Linked DNA regions of Caenorhabditis elegans. The protein of the gene in region 1 purifies or fractionates together with the protein of each later gene. This does not show direct contact. Each region holds a gene or a part of one and is shown in the gene's direction. Other genes may lie near its edges.

The links. Proteins that work in one complex are often made in the same cells at the same time.
Region 2: the proteins of hmg-4 (region 1) and spt-16 purify together in Caenorhabditis elegans (affinity purification with mass spectrometry; 3 studies listed by BioGRID, with this or other methods). This does not show direct contact.
Region 3: the proteins of hmg-4 (region 1) and top-2 purify together in Caenorhabditis elegans (affinity purification with mass spectrometry, with the first as the bait; 2 studies listed by BioGRID). This does not show direct contact.

The regions. Positions count from the first base shown.
Region 1 is NC_003281.10:7,378,630-7,383,537, reverse strand, and holds hmg-4 (FACT complex subunit SSRP1-A), read left to right. Parts: upstream 1-1,941; 5' UTR 1,942-1,942; coding exon 1,943-2,179; intron 2,180-2,286; coding exon 2,287-2,924; intron 2,925-2,986; coding exon 2,987-3,914; intron 3,915-3,966; coding exon 3,967-4,257; 3' UTR 4,258-4,395; downstream 4,396-4,908. Other genes in the region: T20B12.3 (nucleolar complex associated 4), read right to left, coding at 1-332, 381-491, 538-917, 965-1,324, 1,372-1,419; T20B12.7 (Anamorsin homolog), read left to right, coding at 4,493-4,619, 4,813-4,908.
Region 2 is NC_003279.8:10,787,158-10,793,678, forward strand, and holds spt-16 (FACT complex subunit spt-16), read left to right. Parts: upstream 1-1,972; 5' UTR 1,973-1,979; coding exon 1,980-2,051; intron 2,052-2,099; coding exon 2,100-2,192; intron 2,193-2,242; coding exon 2,243-2,698; intron 2,699-3,059; coding exon 3,060-4,501; intron 4,502-4,661; coding exon 4,662-5,088; intron 5,089-5,141; coding exon 5,142-5,744; 3' UTR 5,745-5,995; downstream 5,996-6,521. Other genes in the region: F55A3.2 (C2H2-type domain-containing protein), read left to right, coding at 6,435-6,521. UniProt on the Caenorhabditis elegans protein: Component of the FACT complex, a general chromatin factor that acts to reorganize nucleosomes. The FACT complex is involved in multiple processes that require DNA as a template such as mRNA elongation, DNA replication and DNA repair.
Region 3 is NC_003280.10:11,873,478-11,881,114, forward strand, and holds top-2 (DNA topoisomerase 2 top-2), read left to right. Parts: upstream 1-1,670; 5' UTR 1,671-1,679; coding exon 1,680-1,779; intron 1,780-1,826; coding exon 1,827-2,163; intron 2,164-2,216; coding exon 2,217-2,949; intron 2,950-2,982; exon of another isoform or gene 2,983-3,077; intron 3,078-3,078; exon of another isoform or gene 3,079-3,139; intron 3,140-3,153; exon of another isoform or gene 3,154-3,225; intron 3,226-3,294; coding exon 3,295-3,537; intron 3,538-3,587; coding exon 3,588-6,227; intron 6,228-6,275; coding exon 6,276-6,679; intron 6,680-6,720; coding exon 6,721-6,826; 3' UTR 6,827-7,111; downstream 7,112-7,637. Other genes in the region: npp-3 (Nuclear Pore complex Protein), read right to left, coding at 1-122, 277-481, 531-622, 683-1,034, 1,082-1,216. UniProt on the Caenorhabditis elegans protein: Control of topological states of DNA by transient breakage and subsequent rejoining of DNA strands. Topoisomerase II makes double-strand breaks.

The DNA.
Region 1 (4,908 bases):
ATCGAACGTAAGACTCAATTTTTTGAATCGATTTATCAACGAAATGAGCTCGTTTTCTGACACTTTGATTCCAGTGACATTGAAGAAGTTTCATCTCCCAAAGACTTGATTCCAATGCGCGAGTTTTGTGTAAATCTGTCTCATCATTGTCGAAAGGATCATCGTAAAGAGTCTGAGGAACCTCACGATGAACCAATTCAGAACAGTTTGGATGTCTAATCACAAGATTTCTAATTAATCCAAGAATTGGTTCCTGAGCATCAATTGGAGCAAGAAGAAGGCATCGGGAGAGTCGTTTGAGGAACGAAGCAGTGATGTATGTTGGGAGATGGCTGAAAAGGTATGATTCAGAATAAATTTTCTAGAATATTGCAACTCACGTAGACGACAGGAAACTATCCAGAAGTGTCAGAATGGATTCTTTCTGACTCATATAGAGAAGAGATGGGTTCGTCAATGAATATACTTTGTCGTAGAATTTCGGATATTCACTGAAATAAAGATTTATATGAATCTATTTCAAATAAAATCTCTTACAAGTTATGTTCTGAAATAAGACGAAAAATAGCACCAAGCGAAAGAATTCCATGATAGTCAGTTTTGTCGAACATTTTGAAAAAGAAATCAGCAGATTTGAATGGTGCTTTCAATTTCGAAATGACGTTCTGAGTGATATATGGAATAAGTTTCAGTGTCAACTTGTCACTAATTTTTCCATTCATAACAGCCATCCAAACGTTGTCATAGTCAGTTGAGATCCATGTCAGCTTTCGTTTTTTCATACTTTTATCGTTGAATGGAGTTCTGACACAAAACTGGCGAAATAATGGTTTCGTCACTCGATCAGTTGGGTGCGGGACGAATGAAAGAAAATTGAACAGGTTGAACCAGGCGGTGGTGCGAGTTTCTTTTAGGTGCTGAAAATGTGTGATTCGTATAAACAAATACAGATATTTTAACTCACCGTTATAGACTTCACAAGCTCCGGGGAGATTAAGTGGAAAATATCATATCTTCCAAAAATTTTAGCGATTCCTCTGAGAACTGGACGCTGAATTCGCTTCGTGCCAAACAAGTATTGAATGAAACCGGTTACAGTAAACTTTAGTGATTTTGTAGAAACAATATCTCCAGTTTTTGCGTCTTTTTCGAAAAACTTTATCGTTTTAAAGTATTTTATGATGTCATCCGGATATTCGCATTCTTGCAAAAATTTAGTGAATTCTGCAACAGACTTGCTTTTGGGTTCTTCCCTCTCCAACTCATAATTGACATCGACATTGTCAGGCGCTTCATCTTCTGAGCCATCATCCGAAAAATCAGCCTGAAAAGGTTTTGGTAAGATTTACATGAGATTTTGCTATTTCTTACATTCTGCTCCGCATCATCATGGAAAAATTGGTCCAAATCGTCGTCCATTGCCCTGAAATTATTTGATTAGCGACGATTGCTATAAAAATCAGAAAATTTAGACATTTTTGAGAAAAAAAAACGAAAAAGTATGAATCCTTGTGAAATGTCGTCAGGTGTCATGTTTGCGTACAAAGTAATGCTCGGTGTTCACGTACAATCGAATACCGTAGTTTATTGTTTTCGCTTCGGCGCGCCAAAAATAATGCAACACTTTTCCCAATTTTTCTTCTAGAATCGATACGAATCTGATGATAATTATCGAAATCTTTTCGTTATTTCTGTTTAAATTATAAATAATCATATTCAATCTCTGGTAATGAGTATATTGAATTCATGAATTCATATTGCAAGAAACCAGAACAAATTTCACCGAAAAGAGGGTTTATTTTCGTAATTAGTTTCGCTCGGAAAATCGATATTTTCTTTCAGTGTCGCTACATTCTGCTGGAGTATACTTTCTGAAGTCTCTTCTTTCGATTTCTTCCCTCTCTCTCTCGTTAACTAGACTTATTGACAAACAATTTTCAGAATGGCTGAGCTCCAATTCCCGGGAGTTTATGTTGAAGATGTAGGTCATTTGGCGTTCGGAACACTTAAATTGACTGAAAAATCACTCAACTTCAAAGGCGATAAGGGTGGAAAATCAGTTAATGTCACGGGATCCGATATCGATAAACTGAAATGGCAAAAACTTGGCAACAAGCCGGGACTACGAGTCGGTCTCAACGATGGAGGTGCTCACCGCTTCGGAGGATTCAAAGATACTGTTAGTTTTTTGTTCATTTCATTTTGATTTGTTTTTAGTTTCATTTAAAACACTCTTGCTTTCTTGCTGCTTTTCAAAAAACTTCAATCACAAACTTGAAATTTCAGGACCTCGAGAAAATCCAATCGTTCACTTCTTCTAATTGGTCTCAATCCATCGATCAATCAAATCTTTTCATCAAAGGATGGAACTACGGACAAGCCGAAGTAAAAGGCAAGACTGTTGAATTTTCATGGGAAGATAAGCCAATTTTCGAAATCCCGTGCACGAATGTATCGAATGTTATTGCAAACAAAAATGAGGCAGTTTTGGAGTTCCACCAAAATGATGATAGCAAAGTTCAGCTCATGGAGATGAGATTCCATATGCCAATTGATCTTGAAAATGAGGAGGATGCTGATAAAGTTGAAGAATTCAAGAAAGCTGTTCTGGCATACGCTGGATTGGAAGCCGAGACGGAGCAACCGATATGTCTTCTCACCGACATTCTATGCACAACTCCTCGTGGAAGATACGACATCAAAGTTTATCCAACAAGTATTGCACTTCATGGAAAAACGTACGACTACAAGATTCCTATCAAGTCGATCAATCGTCTATTCCTGGTACCTCATAAAGATGGACGTCATGTATATTTTGTGTTGTCGTTGAATCCACCAATCCGTCAGGGACAGACACGATACAGTTATCTCATTTTTGAGTTTGGAAAAGACGAGGAACAAGATTTGGAGTTGGCACTTACTGAGTGAGTTTATCTAGAGATTTTACGAAAAATCGGACAATCGTCTAAAAATATTATATTTTTAGTGAACAACTCGAATCTAGCAATGGGAATCTACGACGTGACATGACTGGTCCAATCTATGAAACAATCTCAATTCTCTTCAAATCAATTTGCAATTTAAAAATCACTGTTCCTGGACGGTTCCTGGGAAGCTCGGGCACCCCTGCCATTCAATGTACACATCGTCAGAACCCTGGATTATTGTACCCAATGGAAAAAGGATTTTTGTTCATTCACAAGCCAGCCATGTACATTCGCTTTGAGGAGATTAGCTCATGTCATTTTGCACGTTCTGATAGTGGTACTGTCACCAGGACATTTGATTTCGAGATTGATTTGAAATATGGAGGACCTTTAACTTTCAATGCGATGGAAAAGGAGGAGAACAACAAATTATTCGATTATTTGAATAAGAAAAATATCAAAATCCGAAATTCACAACGTGTCGAGAATACCGTCGCAGACTCCAGTGATGATGAAATTGATCCATATAAAGCAGCAGTTACAGCCGAAGGACGCCAACGAGATGATAGTGATGATGACAGTACTGATGAAGATTATGATCTTGATAAGGATATAAAAAAGAAAAAGGAGGATAAGGAGTCGTCAGAAGGAACTGGATCAGAGCCAGACGATGAATATGATTCTGGATCAGAACAAGATTCCAGTGGAACTGGAGAGTCTGAGCCGGATTCTGAGCAAGATGTTCCGTCGAAGCGAAGAAAGGGTGAACCTAAAGAGAAGAGGGAAAAGAAGGAGAAAAGAGAAAAGAAGGAAGGCAAGAAAGGAAAGAAAGACAAAGATCCAAACGCTCCGAAACGTGCTACAAGTGCCTACATGCAATGGTTCCTTGCTAGTCGAAATGAACTGAAGGAGGATGGTGATTCTGTTGCTGATGTGGCCAAGAAAGGTGGAGCCAAATGGAAAACGATGAGCTCGGATGATAAAAAGGTTCGTTGATTATAGTCTACAATTTATCCTCTAAAATAATTTTAATTTACAGAAATGGGAGGAAAAAGCAGAAGAAGATAAGTCTCGATACGAGAAAGAAATGAAGGAATACAGAAAGAATGGACCACCATCTTCCTCGTCAAAACCATCTTCATCAAAAACATCAAAGAAAAGTTCTGGACCATCTTCATCCAAGGCCATTTCGAAAGAGTATATCAGTGATTCAGATGATTCGGACGATGAGGAGCCGAAGAAAAAAGAGAAGAAAGCCGCTCCAAAAGAAGAATCAGAAGAGAGTAATAATGGCTCCGATGGATCTGATGAATCGGATGATTCAGATTAAATTATTAATTTTGTTTCTTTTAAACTCGTGTACTATCGTTTAAATATTCATGTATCTCAAGTTGTCTGAATATCTCATTCTGTTACATTCATTAATTTTTTGATTGCACTTTTAACTTTAATACACTTATCTTTTATTATTATTTTTTGATGATTGATCGATTTACTGGTTCAAACCCATACGTGATCTTTGATTATTTTCCGATTCTTATGAAATTTAAATTATTCGATTTCAGATGTCCATTTTGTCCGACTTTTTGAAGCATCCCAACTTGCTTCAAGTGACGGACGGTGGACCACTGGTCGATGGAACCAACGGGGTCAAAGGGACAAGAGTGGTGGGAAGTGTCTCGAATGCGAGAGGTGAGCTTATTTTATTGTTGAATGACTTTAAATTTTGGAAGTAATTTTATTGAATCAGAAATGAAACTGATTTAAAATTAAAAAGTACTCATTTTAGAATTGTTAAAAACGAAGTAGCGCCAGTTATTAGAAAGTTGAAAATTAATTTTCAAAAATATAAATTCTAACCTTTAATTACTATTCTCAATTTCAGAATTGCGCGGTGCTGATTCTTTGGTCGGAGACGTTGAGCGTGCAATTATTCAAGTACAAGAGACTGAGTTGCTCGCCGAAGTCTGCAATACCGTTT
Region 2 (6,521 bases), on another chromosome or scaffold:
CAGATGAGTAAACGCGAGAGTAACGTCATTCTTATTGACACCGCCTTCCTCGAGCGCCTTATTCCACGAACTGACGAATTCCGAGCTGAATTTCTCTTTGACGAAATTTCCAACATCTCCGCCTGCACTTTTGATGTGATCAATGAGCTTTTCAAAGTTTCCAGCGTCTTTATCGGTTTTATCGCGGAGCAGTGTGCTGACTGTTGGCACTTTTCCTGAGCTCTGATTGTCTCCAGTGACTGATCCGAAGAATTCGACTTTGCGATTACTTCCGAGAATGTAAATGTGATCATTGAGAAGCAACAGGACTGTGTCAGCGATTTCGTGGCCAAAAAGCCAGGTCTGAAATAAAAATTTGTCTTGAGTTTGAACAAAGTCTGAAAAATCCTTACAAATAGTTCGCTGGTCTTTGTATATGGATTATCAGTCTCTCCGTATACAAAAGCAAGTGATTTGATCGAATCTAGACCATCGGCTCCCTTCTCCTGTAAAATATTTGTAAAAAAGTAAAAACTATCAAAAACAGATCCAATGAAAATAAAATGGAACTCGGTAATTTTCAAACTCAATCTCACAATTTTTCGATGGAAAACATTTTAAAAATATAGCAATTCTACAGCTTTTATGGCAAAAAAATAGGGAAAAAATTAGAATTCAAAAATGTTCGTCGACAACAACGCAAAACCACAATCGTGTCGAGACCCATCCGAGTAAGCCGATGTCCCTTTAACCAACCCTATCGCGGTTTTTTTTTAAATTTTTAAAATTTCTTCAAATATTTCGTCCGTTTCTCTTGTGGACCGCTGTTAAAATAGTTAAATACTTTATTTTTCAGAAAACAGATAATTTATACCAAATTGACAGATGTAGAGCTAAACTCCTCAAAATTTTCTAAAGTTCTTATAATTTTACTGTTGTCTGCGTTTCAAGGCCTGAAATATTGTAGGCACTATCGTAGGATTACAACCGGATTTGTAACTTTGATTATCTGAAAAGGAAAAATATTAAACTTTTCTTTCAGGATTTTTCGCAATTGCCGGCGTAATAATTGCTAAAAGTCGACTTTAACTTCAATATATTTTAGCATTCCGAATCTGAAACTAGTTCCCAAATGCCATCTCTCCTTATCATTATAGTCTTCTTGCTGGTATTCTTGGAAATTGGATTTTTCCCTGTAATGTGTGGATGTTGGATGGATGTTTGTACACTTCCATTATTCAATATAACATTATCACAAAGAATTGCAACATTTGCCACAGCTCCATTCATGTCAATATTCCTTCATTGGATGGTTGGAATGATTTATGTATTTTATTCAGCGTCATTTGTGATTCTTCTTCGAGAAATCCTTCGTCCTGGTGTACTATGGTTTATGAGAAATCTCAACGATCCCGACTTTAATCCAATTCAAGAAATAATTGATCTACCGTTCACGCGGCATTTCCGAAGACTTGTTGTATCTACAACTCTGTTCTTTTCAACGATTCTTCTGACATCCTACATCCCGCTCAACATAATCTCATCACTTATTCCACATCTTCTACCCTACAGAAACTCCACTTTCTGAACTCTCGCTGGAATTGATGTTTCTTCAAGAATTCATCACAATTGTGTACTCTCACATGGCCCCTCCGTAAATAACATGGCGGGAATATTGCATGCGGAGTGGTTGCGAAAGTGCGTGCGGCTGTTGCGTTCCTTGACCACGCCCAACTTCATTCCATTCTTTTTCGCGCGCAATCCTCACTTTCAGCTCTAATTTTTCAGAGTTTACAGTTCTTCAGTGAAAAAATATTTGTCTCGTCAAAACGTTTTTTTCAAAATTTTAAAATTGTGTCAAAAAAAATTAATTTTTTCGCAAATTTCAAACTTTTAGCCTATCCGAATCCGTTGCTGGTCACTTTGTTTACGTTATCGATTTTTGCTTCCATCTCTCAATCCTCGTGACTTTAACACAATTTCTAACTTTCAGGGGAGAAATGTCTGGAAAACGGGCAGTTCTCAACAAGGATCTCTTTTTCCAGAGAGCGGAGAGGCTTTATGAGCACTGGGTTTGTGACTTTCAGGACTTTACGAATTTTTAATCAAATATTTTACAGGAGAAGGGAGCCGATGGTCTAGATTCGATCAAATCACTTGCTTTTGTATACGGAGAGACTGATAATCCATATACAAAGACCAGCGCACTATTTGTAAGGATTTTTCAGAATTTGTTCAAACTCAAGACAAATTTTTATTTCAGACCTGGCTGTTTGGCCACGAAATCGCTGACACAGTCCTGTTGCTTCTCAAAGATCACATTTACATTCTCGGAAGTAATCGCAAAGTCGAATTCTTCGGATCAGTCACTGGAGACAATCAGAGCTCAGGAAAAGTGCCAACAGTCAGCACACTGCTCCGCGATAAAACCGACAAAGACGCTGGAAACTTTGAAAAGCTCATCGATCACATCAAAAGTGCCGGCGGAGATGTTGGAAATTTCGTCAAAGAGAAATTCAGCTCGGAATTCGTCAGTTCGTGGAATAAGGCGCTCGAGGAAGGCGGTGTCAATAAGAATGACGTCACTCTCGCGTTTACTCATCTGTTCGCAGTGAAAGACGATAAGGAGATGGATTTGATTCGAAAATCAGCACAAGCTACAACCGCATCATGGACAGCTGCAAGAGCTCGCTACGTAGAGATCATTGATCAAGAAAAGGTGCTTATCGTTCTGAAAATAGTTGAACCAGGAGTCCGCTGCAAGCATTTCTACATAATTAGCCAGTTTTTGGTGATAGAATATAATGAAGCAGTTGATGTATCTGAAAATAGCTTTTAATTCAATTGAAAAAGCGGAAGAACTGCTCAAAATCAATCTGAAAGTTGGAAATCACCCGAAAATTAAACTTTCATGCAGTTTTTGAGCGTTCTTCCAGTTGTTTCAATTAAATGTAAAGCTATTTTTAGATGACTAAACTGTTTTTCCTTTTATCTATCACCAATAACTGGCTCATTTTTTAGTACTCCTGGGAAAACCACTGTTTTAATCCCGAGAAAATAATTCTTTTTTATTTTTGCAGCGAGTCCGTCACTCTGTTCTCTCCAATGAGTTTGCCGCCTTCATGAAGGATTCAAAAGTACAACAGGCACTGGCCAAGTATGAAGCCGACACATGCTATGATCCAATCGTAATGTCCGGTGGAAATTACTCGTTCAAATGGAATCATGAAAGCTCGGAATCTCATCTTCACAGCCAGTTTGGAACGATCATCACTTCGTTCGGAGCTCGTTTATCAGAATATTGCACAAATTTGACGCGAACTATGCTCATCTTCCCATCTTCTGAACTTGAGACTGCCTATGAAGCGATTCTTGCCGCCGAGCTGGCAGTAATTGCTGCTCTGAAGCCAGGAGCCAAGCTGAGCGATGTTTATAAAATTGGAATCGATACATTGACGGAGAAAAGTCCAAAACTTGCTGAAACTCTGAACAAGAAAGAGCTTGGATTTGCGACTGGAATCGAATTCCGTGAGAGTCGTCTTGCTATCAGTGCGAAGTGTGACGAGGTTGTCAAAGCAGGAATGGTCTTCATCGTTTATATTGGTGTCGATAGTATTCCAAACAAAAATAAAGGAGAAAAAGGAAAACCCGCCGCAATTGCAATCTCGGATACAATTTTGGTTAAAGAAGAAGGCGATAACGAGATTCTCACCGAAAAAGCCAAATCACGCCTGAAGTCCAACGTCATCAAATTCAAAGAGGAGCAGGAAAACCGTGAAGCTGAAAAGGACAATGATCAGAAGAAAATGCTCGGAAGAGGTCAGAGAAGTGTCGTTCTAACTGATCAGACGAGAAATAAGACGACAAACGAAGAGTTACGTAAGGAACGTCAGAAAGAGCTCGGAGTTCAGTTGAATGAGCTCGCAAAAGCTCGTCTTTCAAAGCAAGGCGGTGGGACCGATGAGAAAAAGTCGAAGAAATCGAATGTGTCATATAAAACCGAAGAGAGATTCCCACAAGATGCAGACGTTCAGAAGATGTTGATTTTCGTGGATCGCAAGTATGATTCTGTGGTTGTTCCAATATTTGGAATTCCTGTCCCATTCCATATCTCCATGATAAAGAATTGTTCGCAATCAGTTGAAGGAGATTTCACATATCTTCGAATCAACTTTGCCACTCCAGGATCTCAAGTTGGAAAGGATAGTGGGCAATTCCCACATCCACTTGCACACTATATGAAGGAGCTCACGTTCCGTGCGAGTAACATCAAGGATCATCACAGTGATTCGACTGCGCCGAGCCATAATTTGAGCACCGCATTCCGACTCATCAAGGAAATGCAGAAGAGATTCAAGACTGAAGAGGCTGAAGAGCGGGAGAAGGAAGGAGCTGTGAAGCAGGACAAATTGATTTTGAGCCAGAACAAATTGAATCCGAAGCTCAAGGATCTTCTGATTCGTCCGAATATTATTCAAAAGCGTATCACTGGATCGTTGGAGGCCCACACTAATGGATTTAGGTACAGTTTTGAAGGAAAACGAATGTTTCTGAACTCAAAAATTGCCAAATTTGAAAACTTTCGTTTCGAAATTATGCCGTTTCGGATCAGTTTTAGTCTATTTAAACAAAAAAAATCTAAAAGCTCAAAATTTCCTATTTTTATTTCAATGATTTTCCAGATACACATCTCTTCGTGGTGATCGTATTGATGTTCTCTACAACAACATCAAACATGCATTCTTCCAACCGTGCGACAATGAAATGATCATCCTTCTGCACTTCCATCTCAAGAATCCAGTATTGTGGGGAAAGAAGAAGTATAAGGATGTTCAATTCTACACAGAAGTCGGAGAAATCACTACGGATCTTGGAAAGTATCATCATATGCAAGATCGTGATGATATGCAGAGTGAACAGCAAGAACGTGAAATGCGTCGTCGTCTCAATGCTGCATTTAATAGTTTCTGCGAGAAGGTGTCTCGTCTCACAAATGATCAATTTGAATTCGATTCTCCGTTCGCTGGACTCGGATTCTTTGGAGTTCCGTATCGTTCGGCTACCACACTCAAACCAACTGCATCGTGCCTTGTTAATCTCACCGAATGGGTATGTTTTTTGAATTTTATTCCTGAATTCTTTTATATTTTATTTATTTTCAGCCTACATTCATCGTCACACTCTCCGAAGTTGAACTTGTCCACTTTGAACGTGTCTCTCTTCAACTCAAGAATTTCGATATGGTCTTCATCTTCAAAGATTACAAGATCAAACCTCAGATGGTCGCCCAAATCCCGATGAGCAGCATCGATAAGATAAAAGAATGGCTTCATACTTGTGATATTTGGTACAGTGAAGGAATTCAATCACTGAATTGGGCAAAAGTTATGAAGACAATCACTGATGATCTTGAAGCATTCTTTGAAGAAGGTGGATGGAGTTTCCTTAATGTTGAATCTGATAATGAAGAGGCAATGGATGATTCTGATGATTCGGATGCTTATGATCCTGAAGAAGAAGATGCATCTGCTGGATCAGGAAGTGAAAGTGATGAAGATGAAAGTGAAGGTGAAGAGACTGAATCCGATGATGATGATGAAGGATCGTTGGATTCCGATGAATCAGAAGGAAAAGATTGGTCAGATTTGGAGGAAGAAGCAGCGAATGCTGATAAGAGACGTGAAGTCGAAGAACCTTCACGTGATCGTGATCGTAAGAGACCACATTCGAGCAAGTCTGGACCATCGCACAAACGCAGAAAGTAAATCCTGTTTGTATAATTTCCTCCGTTTTATTCTTTTGTTTTGTTTTTCAACTATTTAAATCCCCAAGAATTTTCTTCGCATCTCAATCAATCAATCCGTCCCGTTACACCCCCCATTTTACAACAATTTTACAACTAAAATCTGTCAATCCCCTTATTTTTCTTTCCCACTCAAAATTTGAGTCGATGCTAAAATATTTTTGATTTCAAAATCAATTAATGTCAAATGAAGTTTCATGGAGGCACGTTTTTACATAATTTTGTCGGTTTTCTGAAAATGTTTCCGTTTCTACTTTTTCTGATTAATATTACAACAACAAAATTATACAGATTTCTAAAAAGGAAAAGTTTTGCCAAATGGGTCTCGCCGCGCAGACGACAGGTTACTGTAGCTCGTGTTGATCTTCGAGCCGCTTTAGAATATTATGCAAAAGCGTCATAGACACGAGTTACCGTAGTCCTCGTGGCGAGACCCATTTGGCGAAAAGTTTTAATTTTAGACGTCTGTGTAATAAGCAGTTGCTTGAAACATGAAGATCGTATGCAGAGGGTGGAGCATTGGAATGCTCTTGACATGCCACGTGTCTTGCACTTAGCCCTCTGATTGCGGTGGATTTGTGGGTTCGGTGAGTGGGAATTTTGCTGAAAATAATTTTTTAATTGAATAAACTCGCTAATTTCCGATTTACAGATGCCGAAACCACCTGGCCCAGTGGCAAAACGGTTAAAACTGAAGGATGATTCAGTTTCGGGTTCCGATTCAGCATCTACGAGAACG
Region 3 (7,637 bases), on another chromosome or scaffold:
AATCGATTTCAGAGCAACAGCGCATGCTAGCTGTAGAGTTCCGCACATTGCTTGATCCGACCAGTCTGTTTCATTCCGAATGTGGGCGATCATGTTTGTGAGCACTTGTTGAGCATCGTGAACTGTAAACTCTCAAACAGATTTGTAACTGGATTTTTGGGTATAGGCATGAAGATGGAGTAGCGAGAATTGCTTTAGAAAATCGAAAATATTCTCGAATACAGAAAAACCACAAAAGAAAAACAGAAAAATCGCTACTCCATCTTCAAATATTACCTTGAGACAACACTTCACTCGATGTGATTTTAACGAGAGAAATCCAGGCTGTCAAGCTACTACAACTGAGCTTCTCCGGTGGAACTGCCTTTACAATTTGGAATAAATGATTTGAAATCGAAACTGCGTTTCCTCCCGGAATCTCACAGATCATCGAAATGCAACCAATTACTTCACTTCGAATCTCCTCAATGGCATTTCTGACCTGAAATTAATTTTATGAAAGAATTCCAAAATTATAATCAATTCGGTACCAATTTCTGATGTTTAGAGCCTCCTAAACCGTTGACATCTGGAGATTGAAGTCGTGCAAATTCTGATTGAACGGTGAAATTGATTAGTTGTTCTGAAAATTGGAAAAAAAAATTAGTAATATTTATGATAATATAATTTTTTGAAAACCCACGAAAAAGGTTTTTGATCACGTCCTCGTTGATGAATGTGCTATTGAGGAACTTGCTGATACGTTGAGGAATATCCTCTCGGTCCCATTTTAGCATTTGGCGCATTGTTGCGATTAGGAGCCTGTGCGCATCATAGTAGCAAACGACAGCGATTAATCCTCTGTTGAGGCCTTCGAAATGTATTTTTTGAGCTTCTCCGGCCAAAATCAAATCCACAGCTTCCAGCTCATTTAATTGAAAGATATCCGACAAAATGAGTGCTTCCGAACAGATTTCCTCGTCTAGCGCAACTTCCACTCCTGCCATTTCCACATTTCCTGGCTTCAGCTTTTCCCGATCTTTACCCGTTCGTCTCTTCAATTAGAAAGGTTTATTACACTAACATCAGTCGGAAAACATACCGGATTCAAAAGAATATTGCTCAATCGCCATCTGTATTTCTCGATTTCGTTGAACAGCTCGTTTATTTTTCGGTCGTCATCGAAAGCTGTGAAGGAGACGATGAGTTCGTAAAATTTACGAATCTCAATCCACATTTTGAGCTCTCTAAAATAAATAAAACATTATTTAGAACAAAAAGTTACTTTTTTTGAATTTTTTCGCAAAAAAATTACACAACTTCTATCTCGCAATGCATTTCCGTAAGAGACGCAGACACAAAAACTAAATTTCGTATTTCGAGGCTACAACTACGGTAACACTCGTTTCAGCTGTGTATTTTTCGCGCGTTCGCTGCGAGACCCGACGCTCTTAGGCCGCCAATTTCGAATCGGACGCTCATTTTGGCGCGCTCAGTTGTTTTTTTGTGCGCTCTCTAGCCGGCTGTCTTGCATCGATTCAGTGTTCAGTGTCCAGTGATGTCCACTGGTGTGCTAGTTCTTTTTCTCTTCACTCATTTTTCTTCGCATCCTCAAGTTTATTGAATATTCACCGCGTTTCTTTCTCTCTTTCTCCCGATCGTCCTAAAATTAAATGTCATCTTTTTCCAGATCTCTAACAATGAGCGACTCTGATAGTGAATTCTCTATCGAAGATTCACCCAAGAAGAAAACCGCACCAAAGAAGGAGAAGGCGTCACCGAAGAAAAAGAAAGATGATGGTTGGTTAATTTGTAGAGTTTCTTGAATCTAATTTGCTTCTTTTCAGCCAACGAGTCGATGGTTATGACTGAAGAGGACCGCAATGTGTTCACGTCGATCGACAAAAAAGGTGGTGGCTCGAAACAAATGGCGATCGAGGATATCTACCAAAAGAAGTCCCAACTCGAGCACATTCTTCTTCGCCCGGACACCTACATCGGTTCGGTCGAGCATACCGAGAAGACGCCGATGTGGGTCTACAACATGGAGGAGAGCAAGCTGGAGCAGCGTGACATCTCATACGTGCCGGGACTCTACAAGATTTATGATGAAATTCTTGTGAATGCCGCTGACAACAAACAGAGAGATCCGAAGATGAACACAATCAAGATCACCATCAATAAGTAAGTTTAGACCGTAGCATAAAGGAATTTAATTTAATTTTGCTTTCTTTCAGGGAGAAAAATGAGATCTCTGTCTACAACAATGGCAAAGGAATCCCAGTCACTCAGCACAAAGTGGAGAAAGTCTACGTCCCAGAGCTGATTTTTGGAACTCTTCTAACATCTTCTAACTACAATGACGATGAGAAGAAAGTGACGGGAGGACGCAACGGATATGGAGCAAAGCTTTGCAACATCTTCTCCACAAAATTCACTCTGGAGACGTCTTCACGGGATTACAAAAGTGCATTCAAGCAAACGTGGATCAAAAACATGACGCGTGATGAGGAGCCGAAGATTGTTAAGAGCACCGACGAAGACTTCACGAAGATCACATTCTCGCCGGATCTGGCAAAGTTCAAGATGAAGGAGCTGGACGATGACATCTGCCATTTGATGGCTCGGCGTGCGTATGATGTGGCTGGATCCAGTAAAGGAGTCGCCGTGTTCCTCAATGGAAAACGAATTCCAATCAAAGGATTCGAGGACTACGTCCAAATGTACACTTCGCAGTTCAACAATGAAGGAGAACCCCTCAAGATCGCATACGAGCAAGTTGGAGATCGTTGGCAAGTCGCCTTGGCTCTTTCGGAAAAAGGCTTCCAACAAGTGTCATTTGTCAACAGTATTGCTACCACAAAAGGAGGACGGCACGTGGACTACGTGGCTGATCAGATGGTCGCCAAGTTCATCGACTCGATCAAGCGGAAGCTCACAAAGACGTCGATGAATATCAAGCCATTCCAGGTAAATTTCGTCGAATTTAAAATATTTACCGCCAATGATGACTCAAAATAGCTATATGAACTCTTTGGTGACTCGATAATAAGAGAAATCTGAAAATTTTCAAGGTTTTTCTAGAGATTTCACCGATTCTTTTGAAGTATCGGTGCACCAAGTGAAAAATAAAATTGCGACGCTTTAGTGACGCTGGAGAAAGTTTTTATCCAGTGTCTAAAGGCGCGGCGCAACATTTTTAAACTTTCCGATGATTTGTGATTACTAAAAGGCGAATCTGAGGCGAGGAATTGCTAATGCGAATTCAAATCTAATAAATTTTCCAAATATTCAATTTTATATCAAAATTTTCAGATCAAAAATCACATGTGGGTTTTTGTGAATTGCTTGATCGAAAATCCGACATTCGACTCCCAGACGAAAGAGACTATGACCCTGCAGCAGAAGCAGTTCGGATCGACCTGCGTCCTCAGCGAGAAGTTCTCCAAAGCGGCTTCAAGTGTTGGAATCACCGATGCTGTTATGAGTTGGGTTCGCTTCAAACAAATGGACGACCTCAACAAAAAGTGCTCCAAGACGAAGACTTCCAAGCTGAAGGTAACAATTCATCTAATTCGTGGCCTTGTTTTAATTAATATTTATTTCAGGGCATTCCAAAGCTTGAAGATGCCAACGACGCTGGAACCAAAAATTCCCAACAATGCACATTAATTCTGACGGAGGGAGACTCGGCCAAAACGCTTGCTGTTTCGGGACTTTCAGTCGTTGGACGCGACAAATATGGAGTATTCCCACTTCGAGGAAAATTGCTAAATGTCCGAGAAGGAAATATGAAACAAATCGCCGATAATGCTGAGGTCAATGCCATGATCAAAATTCTGGGACTCCAATACAAGAAGAAGTACGAGACAGAAGATGACTTCAAGACTCTTCGATACGGTAAACTGATGGTCATGGCTGATCAGGATCAAGACGGTTCACACATCAAAGGACTCGTGATCAATTTCATCCATCACTTCTGGCCTTCTCTCATTCAGCGGAACTTCGTAGAAGAATTCATCACTCCAATTGTCAAAGCCACCAAAGGAAAAGAAGAAGTTTCCTTCTATTCGCTCCCAGAATATTCTGAGTGGAGAATGAATACGGATAACTGGAAGTCGTACAAGATCAAGTACTACAAGGGATTGGGTACATCGACTTCTAAGGAAGCTAAGGAATACTTCTTGGACATGGTTCGTCATCGTATCCGCTTCAAGTACAATGGAGCTGATGATGATAACGCTGTCGACATGGCTTTCTCGAAGAAGAAGATTGAAGAGAGAAAAGACTGGCTCTCGAAGTGGATGCGGGAGAAGAAGGACCGAAAGCAGCAGGGACTTGCTGAAGAATATCTCTACAACAAGGACACTCGATTCGTCACCTTCAAAGATTTCGTCAATCGTGAATTGGTCCTCTTCTCGAATCTCGACAACGAGCGTTCAATTCCATGCCTTGTGGATGGTTTCAAGCCAGGACAGCGGAAGGTTCTCTTCGCGTGCTTCAAGAGAGCAGACAAGCGTGAAGTCAAAGTAGCTCAATTGGCTGGAGCTGTCGCTGAAATTTCTGCTTACCATCACGGAGAACAGTCGCTTATGGGAACAATTGTGAATCTCGCTCAAGATTACGTTGGCTCCAACAACATCAACCTGCTTCTTCCAATCGGACAGTTTGGTACTCGTCTCCAAGGTGGAAAGGACAGTGCTTCAGCTCGTTACATCTTCACTCAACTGTCGCCAGTCACTCGTACACTCTTCCCGGCTCACGATGACAATGTCCTTCGTTTCCTTTATGAAGAAAATCAGCGTATTGAGCCAGAATGGTATTGCCCGATTATTCCAATGGTACTCGTCAATGGAGCTCAAGGCATCGGTACTGGATGGTCCACGAACATTCCTAATTACAATCCACGTGAACTGGTCAAGAACATCAAGCGTCTTATCGCCGGCGAGCCACAGAAAGCCTTAGCTCCATGGTACAAGAACTTCCGCGGAAAGATCATTCAAATCGACCCGAGTCGATTTGCATGCTATGGTGAAGTTGCTGTGCTGGATGACAACACCATTGAGATCACCGAGTTGCCAATCAAACAGTGGACTCAAGACTACAAAGAGAAGGTTTTGGAAGGATTGATGGAGAGCTCGGACAAGAAATCGCCTGTTATCGTCGACTACAAAGAGTATCACACAGATACAACTGTCAAGTTCGTCGTGAAGCTCTCGCCGGGAAAACTTCGTGAATTGGAGCGCGGTCAGGATCTTCATCAAGTCTTCAAGCTCCAAGCTGTCATCAACACTACGTGCATGGTACTTTTCGATGCTGCCGGATGTCTTCGTACATACACTTCGCCAGAAGCGATTACTCAAGAGTTCTACGATAGTCGCCAAGAGAAGTACGTACAGAGAAAGGAGTACCTTCTCGGAGTTCTTCAGGCTCAGAGCAAGCGTCTCACTAACCAGGCTCGTTTCATCCTCGCCAAGATCAACAACGAGATTGTTCTCGAGAACAAGAAGAAGGCGGCGATTGTCGATGTTTTGATCAAGATGAAGTTCGATGCTGATCCAGTGAAGAAGTGGAAGGAGGAGCAAAAACTCAAAGAGCTTCGTGAATCTGGAGAGATCGAGCTGGACGAAGATGATCTAGCTGCTGTCGCCGTCGAAGAGGACGAAGCCATTTCCTCTGCTGCGAAGGCCGTTGAAACCAAGCTATCAGACTACGATTACCTTGTCGGAATGGCTCTCATCAAGCTTTCGGAAGAAGAGAAGAATAAGCTCATCAAGGAATCGGAGGAGAAGATGGCTGAGGTTCGAGTTATCGAGAAGAAGACCTGGCAAGATCTTTGGCATGAGGATCTGGACAACTTCGTGTCTGAGTTGGACAAACAGGAGGCTCGCGAGAAAGCTGATCAAGATGCCAGCATCAAAAATGCCGCCAAAAAGCTTGCTGCCGACGCAAAGACCGGACGTGGACCCAAGAAGAATGTGTGCACGGAAGTCCTTCCATCCAAAGATGGACAGCGCATTGAGCCGATGTTGGATGCTGCAACCAAGGCCAAATATGAGAAGATGTCTCAGCCAAAGAAGGAACGCGTCAAGAAAGAGCCAAAGGAGCCGAAAGAACCAAAGAAGGTGAAAAAGGAAGGCCAGGACATTAAAAAGTTCATGTCTCCAGCTGCTCCGAAGACTGCGAAGAAGGAGAAAAGCGACGGCTTCAACTCTGACATGTCAGAGGAAAGTGACGTGGAGTTCGATGTAAGATTTCCTCTGTAATTTCTTCAACTTCTAAAATATTTTTTGCAGGAAGGAATCGATTTCGATTCGGACGATGACGGTGTGGAGCGTGAGGATGTCGTCTCAAAGCCAAAACCTCGTACTGGAAAAGGAGCTGCGAAAGCGGAAGTTATCGATTTGTCAGATGATGATGAAGTTCCTGCAAAGAAGCCTGCTCCAGCGAAGAAAGCTGCTCCGAAGAAGAAAAAGAGCGAGTTCAGCGATCTGTCTGGCGGCGACAGTGATGAAGAAGCTGAGAAGAAGCCGTCCACCAGCAAAAAGCCGTCTCCAAAGAAGGCTGCTCCGAAGACGGCCGAGCCCAAGTCGAAGGCGGTGACCGATTTCTTTGGTGCTTCAAAGAAGAACGGAAAGAAGGCCGCTGGTTCCGATGATGAAGACGACGAAAGCTTCGTTGTGGCTCCAAGAGAGAAGAGGTTAGTTTGAAAATTATTTTTAAAAAATGTAATTATTTCAGCGGAAGAGCTCGCAAGGCGCCACCAACTTACGACGTGGATTCAGGATCCGATTCGGATCAGCCAAAGAAGAAGAGGGGACGCGTCGTCGACTCCGACTCGGATTAAATTAATTTGTTTCCCACCTTCCTTAAGTGTTTCTAATTTATTTTCTTTCCAATCATTTTAAAATCGTTTTAACGATCTCAACCATCCCCATCCTCCCCCAAATCATCCCGTATATTAAGTTTGTATTTTTACATGAGGGAAACTGCTGTAATATAATTATCGCCCTTATGCCTAAATTATTTACCCCTACCTAATTTCACTGTTTTTAAAAGTTATTTTTCTATTTATGTGAGTCTCAAGAATTATTGAGAAGAGTCTTCTTGCAATGAAAATGCCTATATTTCCAAAGCTTCCAACCTATATGCAGGTCTTCATCGTTTGTGTCGCTTGAGAAATGACGATGACAAGTCGTAAACGGTCTGTGTCCTTCTTCGTTGCATCCAACGTCTTGTTCCTACTGTTTTCTATTCCCCTATCGATCACACACTGTGTGTGCGTGTCCTTGGGCCTCTACCGTTTTTGAGGTCGAACATTTTAGACATTCAGGCGAACAATGAGATTTAGAGAGACACATGGAATCGCCTCCCCGGGAGAACTGGAGACTCGAGATGATTTGGTAGTCAGATAAGAAGAATCAATTGTATATTGAAGAAAAATGTAGAAATTAGGGAAACTTTTAAAGATAAAATTTAAAAATAAAATGCATTCGGCGCCAAGCTGAATGTGTCTCTAGTCATAGTCCTTGCTTTGTGGAGGATATTATGACTAACGAGCACATCCAGCGTGGCACATGGTGCATGAGCAGCTGAATACTGGAACGAAATTTGAATAAGTTGATTCTCAGAAGTTTGGCCGATGGCGGTATCGAGTG